Neodiprion lecontei: one gene and its partner. Each later gene encodes a partner of the first gene's protein in a complex. Links are inferred from orthologs where the notes say so. Each region holds a gene or a part of one and is shown on either strand. Other genes may lie near its edges.

Evidence for each region.
Region 2: cyclin-dependent kinase 9 (region 1) and ell-associated factor Eaf share a complex: the UniProt entries of both Homo sapiens proteins name them as parts of the super elongation complex. The link is inferred for Neodiprion lecontei from reciprocal best matches to the Homo sapiens genes CDK9 and EAF1.

The regions. Positions count from the first base shown.
Region 1 is NC_060261.1:1,241,411-1,246,258, forward strand, and holds cyclin-dependent kinase 9, read left to right. Parts: upstream 1-2,071; 5' UTR 2,072-2,218; coding exon 2,219-2,325; intron 2,326-2,402; coding exon 2,403-2,487; intron 2,488-2,735; coding exon 2,736-2,826; intron 2,827-2,907; coding exon 2,908-3,074; intron 3,075-3,154; coding exon 3,155-3,396; intron 3,397-3,496; coding exon 3,497-3,644; intron 3,645-3,748; coding exon 3,749-4,057; 3' UTR 4,058-4,307; downstream 4,308-4,848. UniProt on the Homo sapiens protein: Protein kinase involved in the regulation of transcription.
Region 2 is NC_060263.1:14,748,165-14,753,317, forward strand, and holds ell-associated factor Eaf, read right to left. Parts: upstream 3,205-5,153; 5' UTR 2,573-3,204; intron 2,101-2,572; 5' UTR 2,073-2,100; coding exon 1,976-2,072; intron 1,903-1,975; coding exon 1,671-1,902; intron 1,581-1,670; coding exon 1,347-1,580; intron 1,270-1,346; coding exon 974-1,269; intron 878-973; coding exon 747-877; 3' UTR 541-746; downstream 1-540. Other genes in the region: ubiquitin carboxyl-terminal hydrolase MINDY-3 homolog, read right to left, coding at 4,791-5,097. UniProt on the Homo sapiens protein: Acts as a transcriptional transactivator of ELL and ELL2 elongation activities.

The DNA of each region.
Region 1 (4,848 bases):
AAAATCTTCGCGATTTTGAAAAGTGCTGGAATAAATTCTTTCGTGCACTATTCCGACGTAATTTTGCGAGAGAAACCGATTGGGCGCAGTCCCGATACGCTGCGAGCAACAGATAAAAAGTTAGAGCCGAAAAACGAGAACCTGTGTTTTCGACATTTTTCATCAGGTGCTTTCTCCTTCGTAATTTCTCTCCTGTTGATCCCACGCTCTTTTGGCTGCTTTTTCTGAGTTCCTGGCGGTCCAATTAGTCAGGAGAAGGTCATACAAATCGAATCTGAGACCAAAAATTTTCGGCTCCAAAAATGAAGAAAAAGTAAGGCTAACCCCTTTGCATTTTTGGCGAAAATCTTCGCGATTTTGAAAAGTGCTGGAATAAATTCTTTCGTGCACTATTCCGACGTAATTTTGCGAGAGAAATCGACTGGGCGCAGTCCCGATACGCTGCGAGCAACAGATCAAAAGTTACAGCCAAAAAACCAGAACCTGTGTTTTCGACGTTTTTCAGCGGGTGCTTTTTCCTTCGGAATTTCTCTCCTGTTGATCCCACGCTCTTTTCGCTGCGTTTTCTGAGTTCCTGGCGGTCCAATTAGTTAGGAAATGGTCATACAAATCGTATCTGAGACCAAAAATTTTCGGCTCCAAAAATGAAGAAAAAGTAAGGCTAACCCTTTGCATTTTTGGCGAAAATCTTCGCGATTTCGAAAAGTGCTGGAATAAGGTCTTTCGTGCACTATTCCGACGTAATTTTGCGAGAGAAATCGACTGGGCGCAGTCCCGATACGCTGCGAGCAACGGATCACAACTCACGGCTGAAAAATATGAAATTGACACCGGGTTATTAAAGAGGTGGAATAGAAAAATCACAAACTCATCGTTACAAAGTTTCAGTTTCAGTTTATTCAATGTGTTTTATTTCTAGTACAAGTGTTCAGGTGTCAATGTATACTACTTTACCAAGTTTAGTTAGCATAATCATAATATTGTATACTTATACATAATACTAATGATGATATATTCTACATAATATTATACCACTTATTTTTATTATTGAGGGCCAGCTTCCACAAAGTAGACACTCATTTGTTGGGCAAATGTGTAGCCATGGCATATAGTTTAGCGGGCCGCCACTGGAGTGCGCGACGAGCGGTATGTCTGTACTTTTGAAACAAATGCGAATACACGTGCCGTGTTTGATCGTACTTGTGATCAATTTGGTGGGTTGCTGTATCCTGCAATACATCATAAGTAATGACGTGGTAATGTACTGCCGTGGTAATCTTTACCACAAAAACAAGGGCAAAATACATGTTCTTCACTTAGGTTTTTCGCTAATTGAATAGACATACAATTTAATACCCATGAAGATTTTAAGTATGTAACTTCAATTTTAACAGTTGAGTGTTGTGTGTTTTCATCGAGTTTTTTTTTTATCGAAGCTGGAGAAATATGCAGTGGCTCAATGACGGATTGTACTTGGGTTATTCATGAGAATCTGAGACTGCTAATTTTTTACACTAGACCGTTATGTTGACAATGCACAGAAACCTACAACGTCATAGTCGGCCGAGCGCGAACAAACTCAATCTCAATAAACATAACATAACCCATGACCGTTGAATCTAACGTTAGAATACCGCAGGGATAATGACTTGTTCGATTGACACGTCACTGAACAAATCTTAATCGCTGATAATGTTATGAAGCGCGGAAGAGGATAGGAATTGTTGAAAAAATTAGATGACAACATCGCTAATTTTTTCAATCATTTCTTGCTTCTATTTCAGCATGTAATTCCAGAAAATATACCTGTATGTTTGAAAAATGTTTTACAGCCACAGTTCGTGGAAATCTGGAGATTAACCATCTGAAAATAATGCGAATACATGTTAGAATACATACATGTACATACTCTGATGTTCTCTTAACAAACGCAAATAATATAATTTAGTCGACTGTACCGTTTAAAACGACAGCGCAGTCTGCCGGCGAGGCCCTGAGTTATCCACCCTGGCCGCGGTTTGGAACCAAGCGCGGTAGCGTCTCTACTGGTATATGTTTTAAGGCCTCCACGGAGCGGTTCATGTTCGTTCTGATCACGGTTTAGAACGTTTAGAACCGTGGTTCTGATAGCTGTCGGATATTACTTTCAGTGGTTTACCCAAACGTAGTGACTGTAATGACCTGAGTTTTTGAAGTAAGTGAAATATTTTATCGCGCCATGAATACAAAGGAAAAGGAGAAGTACATTGAAGAATTCGATTTTCCGCACTGCGATGAATCAACGAAATATGAAAAAGTTGCTAAAATCGGCCAGGGTACTTTCGGGTACGTGATCAATTCATATGTTAACAACTCCCACTCCAAGGTTATGTTTGTTACAATCTTTGATTACTTTTTCACAGAGAAGTGTTTAAAGCAAAGGAAAAGAACAGTAACAAAAAATTCGTAGCAATGAAGAAAGTTCTTATGGACAACGAGAAAGAAGGGGTAACTATCAGAATTTTTCGTCAAGCCGCATTATTCATCTTGTAGCTTCGACCTTGTTCTCTTAGTCGTACATTTGCTTTTTTACTCGGCATGACTCCCGTAAACAATTGGAATAACTTACACTTGAGATCGTGTGCCTAAGCCCTAGATTCAACACCCTGTACCGCGTTATTGTACTGCGACTGTTAGTCATAAGCATCATTCCATTCTAACCCCAAAACCATTTACCTAATATGGTATCATTGCAGTTTCCCATTACAGCACTGAGAGAAATAAAGATATTGCAGTTACTGAAGCACGAAAATGTGGTTAATTTAATTGAAATATGCAGAACTCGAGGTATGTTCATCAGAATCGAATTGCATTGGTTGTGAGAAAACTGCAGAATACTCAGCGCCGCGCTATGATTTGTTGTTATAGCGGCTCAATACAACCGTTATCGATCGACGTTCTACCTGGTGTTCGATTTCTGCGAACATGATCTAGCAGGTCTATTATCTAATGTAAACGTCAAATTCAGCTTGGGTGAAATAAAGAAAGTCATGCAACAACTACTCAATGGCCTATACTACATTCATAGTAACAAGGTAAGTTAGATTCAACTAATGTTTCTCTGAAAATCATTTATATCTGCCGAAACTCCTAATTACGTTTTTTACATTCACAGATCTTACACCGAGATATGAAGGCTGCCAATGTTCTTATAACAAAAAACGGTATATTGAAACTCGCAGATTTTGGACTGGCGCGAGCTTTCAGTGCCAATAAAAACGGTCAAGTAAATCGGTACACAAACCGTGTTGTCACCCTCTGGTACAGGCCACCAGAGCTGTTACTGGGAGACAGAAATTACGGTCCACCAGTAGATCTATGGGGGGCGGGCTGTATTATGGCGGAAATGTGGACTAGGTAAACGATTTAAGATTTGAATTAAGTTTTTTGCTATGGCTGCTTCCAGTTTATTTTTAATGGAAGTGCATTCATATTGTCAAACTTTTATCAAATCCAGATCACCCATTATGCAAGGAAACACTGAACAACAACAGCTCACGCTAATTTCTCAACTATGTGGATCTGTGACCACCGAAGTATGGCCCGGTGTAGAAAATTTAGAGTTATTTAACAAGATGGAATTGCCCAAAGGACAAAAAAGAAAGGTACATGAATTTTATAAGAAAATTAAAACATTAATTTATCAATCGAATTTCATTGTAAGAAGAATTGCACTTGAATCAATAAATGACAAATTCATGTGTACTAGGTGAAGGAGAGACTAAAGCCGTATGTCAAGGACCCCTTTGCTTGTGACCTTTTAGACAAACTATTAATTCTCGATCCCAGCAAAAGGTATGACTCCGATTCGGCACTGAATCACGACTTTTTCTGGACCGACCCAATGCCCTGTGATCTCAGCAAAATGTTGGCGCAGCACACTCAAAGTATGTTCGAGTATTTAGCACCGCCCCGACGACCGGGTCACATGCGTCACCCGCATCACCCAGTTCCTGGAGGTCCTGCCAAACCAAGTTCGAGTATGGCGGACAGTGGTTATCAGGATCGCGTATTCTAGAATGTACATAGACGCAACAGACACTGCTACACAAATACATTATACCTAGATATAGTTAGATAGAATTTATCTAACGCTTTTCAAAAAGCGTTGCTGTATGACTGAAACGTGCGATTGCATTTCAAGAGTGTTGGACCAGTAGCGATTTATCTGGCCCAGTTCGTGTACATTAGACTGTTATACATATATTGTAATTTTTTTTAATTTAACACGTGTAATAATATACTCAAATATACATTTTCTATATCAATTAAATTACACTCATTCAATCTCCTCTGTCCTCCACTTATATGCTTCGACTTGCCGCCGATTTTTTAATACACTTTTATTTACGATTTGAATCGTCCGTTCCGTGGAAAGTAGCAAAATATGTTATTTGATGAGATGATGTTGGTTATGTATTACATTGTTCGAAGATACGAACTTTATTTATTCCAGAACAAGTGAACACGACAGTGTATATAAATTTATTGTTTATTGCACTCCTTATAAATATAATCGAACAGGAAGCGATTCTGCGCAGTTTTCATCTATATTCTGCAATAAGAGGTGTTGGTGGCTAGGTTCATGTATATTATCAAACATTTTAATATATCAAATAGTAGCTAGTTAACTATTATAAAATTAGGCATTGTAGGACTCAGGAAAAATTACAATTAAAAAGATACAACATTGAAAAAAAAATGAAAAAAATCTGACGCTGATCTCAAAATGCTATTTTCAACATCATAAGAATATATATTACTAAAAATACACATTAGTTATTAGAGATGTTGAATGACTTGTATAGT
Region 2 (5,153 bases), on another chromosome or scaffold:
TAGAACATCCGTACGAAGACCATAGAGATAATATTAGGATAGAGTGAGCGAGGCGACGAAAATCCTGAAAGGCACGTAGAAAGGGAAGGAGAATCGTTGACACCTAACTCTCTGTCCTTGTTTCCACACTAGTCGCCGCTCCGGCGTCAACAGTTGATAATCAGAGGCGAATGAGACAAAGATAGGGTTTGTTCGTGCAGCTACACTTTCACCACTTTTCTTTTTTTTACACCTTCGGTAAGAACACTATCACTGTATATTTGAGAAAATGTAGAAAGTATAGCTAGCATGAACAAACCAATAGAGTGGTGCCAGCGATTCTTTCTTTTTCTAGGCACGTTTTAGGTTTGTCAGTGCCTCGCTCACTGCCCTAAATTATCTCTACGGCGACTGCAAAAGTTACATTGATGCTATCTCGTGGCATAATTATAATCTATGGGATTGAAGTTGGTCTAGGCACGCTAGTTAAAAATTTTGCGCTCCCTGAAAAAAGAATCTTCGAGTTTAAGTTCTCTGATGTACAGGAGAAAACTATAATGAACAATTCATTTAATTAATTCATTACATAAGGCTTTGTACATATTTATAACGTAATTTCTTTCATCCAATATGATGCTGTTGTTGTCAGCTATAAAAATTTGAACTCATGCTGGCAGCCACAATGGCCGATATAATGAAACTCGCATCTTTATTGCCCTCTCTCCCCAATTCAAGTCAAGAGATGATAAATAGGAGAGATGATATTTTTAGTCACTCTCTGATCCAGATTCAGACAATTGTAGATCATCCTTAAGCAAATTATCAGGCATTGACAACGAGGGAGATGCTGACATGCCGTTTGCATGTCCTGAAAGTAGATAAATAGAGTTTGAACAAGCTGAAAAGAAACGTATAAATCCGAATCAATGAAATAAGAAAGAAGAATACTTGCAGCAGGCATAACCAATTGACAAGTTTAAATAACTATACTTGCCATTAGTAGTCATCGGAACTGGTATGTTTTCGGCATCCGAATCACTGTCAGAGCTATCAGAGCTGGAGCTACTAGAACTTGAGTCGCTGAGAGCTCGTTCATCACTTTCAGTAGCAGGAGCGCTTTCCTCCAGAGTTATTTCCCGAATAACTGGAGTTTCAGTCCTGGGTGGTGCCGAACCGTGTGAGGGTTGAGCGGGCGTCATCATAGAAGACAAAGCAAAGTCGTCGTTGTCTAAACCAATCATTGGAAGACTGGCCAAAGTTGACTGTGCAATGGAAGGCGGCACAGGAGAACTGTAATGGTAAGTAGCATCAGAGAATATAGTGCATAGACTCTGGGGACTGGTAAATATCAACCGGTCGTTGGATACCTGTTGCTTGGTATGTTTGGGGGGCTTTTTCCATGATAAGGTGACGCTTGAAGCGGGCTGTGTTGTTTTGGATGTAGCTGAACCATGGGTTCTTTCTTTCTCCCGGTAGCCACTTTGGTTCTTCCATTGGCCCTACCGTGAGTCGGGCTTTTCTTGTTTTCAACCGGCGTGAAAGGGCGGTTGTTGCTGTTTTGCCCAGGAATACTCAGAAATGATTGACTCTTAGGCTCGGTTCTGTGAAGGAACCATTTATCGTTTATTTCACTATCTTGAAAATGTAACGTTCTATAAAACCGGGAAACGATAGATGCCAACAATGCTTACCGCGTTTTTTTCACTTGTATATTCGATGACAACTTCTCGAGTGTTACTTCCCCTGTGACACGATCTATTATCAATACACACTCCTTGTGATACGGTCGCTGGGAGCCCTTGAAGACAGTATGAGGTGTTCCAGCACCATCTAAGTGTGGCACAGTTACAGTCATGGTATTATTCGATCCAACGTCAACTTGTGCCATCTTAGATACGTCCACACTGGCTGGTTTGAAGTCATCTACGAATAAATAAATCAGTAGGGTTGTTTGACTTCGAAACACAGACTACAAATGTAGCGTACAGATACTTACACTTAAGTGTGTGGAACGCGGTCGACTTCTTGTTAGTAAAACTGGGACCCAGCTTAAGCTCCCGAATCTCAGGGCCGAGGCCAAGTTTCTCGGCCATCTCGGAGGAAATAGCGTCTCAGAAATGTCTGGCATTTATTTAATAAAGCGATAAAGCATTGTTTCATACCCATTAACAAGTTGAAATGGGGACAAATATAAGTGATGGCTTTTGCAGCTTTTGCAGAAAACTGAGATAATTGTTCACAGCCTACAATATTTATCTGAACATTTTTCCCCCATCAACTTTTCTACCACATTGTCGAGTAAGAATAAAACATGGTAGGATTGTGAATAACAGTTGGAAGATCAGGCTTTTTTTTAAATAGAAACAAAACATTTTTTGGCCTTTGTCTACTTGACTTTTCTGGTATTTTTTCGTTTACGAAAGATGAGAGCAGAAGAAAGGAAAAAAAAATGAAGGGAGAAAAGCGGAATTGTTTGCTCGGGTAAAACCCAGCTGGTTAGATTGGATACGAGTTTAGATAGAATTCGAGTAGAGTCGGTCAAGACGGTTGTAATATTGTCGAAAAATTGTGCAAAATAATGGTGAAAACTTACCTCGAAATTTACGCTACATATTCCATTGACCCAATTTTTAGTCTCGGGCTGCAACTCTCGCACTCATGGCGTGACAAGTATGTATGTACAAATTGAAAGAAGGGGAATGAATACTGGATAGCGTCAAAATGGCATCCGAGGACCTGGGATACCGAAATTTTTGTCACCGGTGATAAAAGAAGTTGTCCGATCAAATCTGCAGCCTGATTGGTTACAATGACCTTTGTCGACTTTGTCAGCTGTGTTATAAATTCTAAAATCTGGGCCCGGCAATCTTACGGCAGACGGAAGTCGTCGCAACCATTGGAACTTGTTGCGCTCTTTAGCGACTCGCGAGGAAAAATCATAGGTACTAGCAGCTTCGGTTGTTACTTTTCGCATGAGTGACAGGTGACGTCACTCGATAGAACGGCAAAATACGCATGCAAAACATAACCTCGAATTCGTTCTCTATTTTCATAAATTTCCAAATTATCCTTCAATCTCGACACTCGCATTTGCAATTCGCGGTACATGCAACTTCATTGTTGGTTAAACAAAAATTAACAGCCCAGCAACTGCATTATTGTTATACAAACCGTAAGCAACTGACTGACACTTTGTGATTTTACTCCTATATTTGTGACAGTAGAGAAAATGTTACAGAGCCCAGCTCTGATTGGCAAGAAAACTCAATCAATCGATCTCATGACCCGTTCTTGCTAATCGGTGGTTTCGGCTGTTAGTCGTGAGTCCGCAAAAATTTGAAAACCGCACGGCGGTGGGTTACACATGCGAAAAATGCAACAATGATTAATTGGATTGATAAGAATAACTATAACATGAGAGGTGTTACTATTCTTTATTTCAATATTAGTTTTCATTTTTCTTTTTTCAACAATTTTAGAAGAGCGTCATAAATAATTAACTATTAATCCCATGTACTCATGTACACTATGATGGTCAGCTTAAATACATTTGTTGCTAGTTGTCTAAACTGTGCAGAAAAAAAAAAAAACTTTCAACTTATACAATGAGACGAATCACTATATTTCTCTTTCACTCTCTTGACTGAATATATTAAGAAGATTCTAGTATACGCTACCTTGTTCCTGTATACATATTCATTCAGAAACATTATCTATACCTAATGTTTGAGAACATTCTCTTTACATCAGTTATTATTATTATTATTTAATTTCGTTTATAATTGTTATCAGTATAACTTTGTTTTTCTTTTTATTTAATGTTATCATTACTATATTTTTCCTCAAAGACACTTCTTTCTCTTTTGGTACGCAACCTTATTACAAACGTAACGTGGTAGTTATACTCTAAACATTGATTCCTATATTATACTCAGTCTTCAGAGCATTTGCGTAAAGCAACGAATTTATTGTTGTCATTATTGTTGATTTTACATTGTGCTACTGACTTTCCAAATTAACAAGGCAAATCAAGAATACCGCATTCAGCGTAACCCAAAACGTAACTATGGCAAAGGGGGAATCAGCTTTTAATTTAGACAATTACTGTTTTAATTCTGTTGAGATTTCTTCATTATATTAGTCGAATTCGTGTGCATGAGATTGAACGGCAACCTTCAATTGGCTTTACACCAGTGCAATTTTTTCTGTTATCTCGATGTTTATATGCAAAAAAATAATCCTTTCATCTTAGCAAAATAATGTCTTAACTTTTGTTTTTATCGGAATCCAAAAAGCCTTCAGCACTTCAGTATCGTTATTATTATCATTATTACTATTACTGGTTTTAACTTTTGCAGCAGAAGTATTTTCACAATAATTGTTATGAACTTATGGCCCTCAAATCTTTTGAATCTTTGAAACATCTCTTAGCAAATTAAAGAAAATTACTAGATATGACCAGAGCTATGTACAATCCCGCTGTTCGTTCTAACTCAAAAAGTCAAGGTTGCTTCCGGAATGTGCTGTTTTTCATTAATTTAATATCATTACTTTTTATACATATAAATAAAACCGTCACGACCCTAGACAATTGGTACCTTAGATATTACTTAAGGTAGTTATATTATTATAAATTTAGAATCACGTAACTGGTCGTATTTTTTTTTTAACATTTCTCTACCTCAATGCCTACGGTGCTCTGATTTATTATTTTCTTTTTACCTTTTTTTTTGTACACAGTCTAGACTCAGTCGTAGAGAGTATGCAGTCTCTACACTTTCGTATAAAACAAAAAAAAAAAATTTGTTCTTCTAGTTGACACTGGGTGTCTGTTCTTTGTCCCACTGTACCTCGATGCTCGGCCATTTAGTTTGCAATACCGTCAACATCGGATTGCTATCTAAAATACATTTGACTGTACATTCTAGCAGCACAGCTTGTCCTCTCCGATATGTGACTTTGTTTTCTAGGTTGCTTCGTGGCAAACCGTTGTAGTGGAACAACACAAATGTGTCAGGACAAGTACGAGGATCTTCGGGAAAAAATTCATCCATGAAAGCTGCTAGCAGAATAATTCCTAGAGATTCGCTGTCCAATTTTTTCCTCATTATCTCAACACTGTAATTTTGTTTTTCCAGTTAAAATTTCAATTTAGTCAACTGAGCACTCTGTTG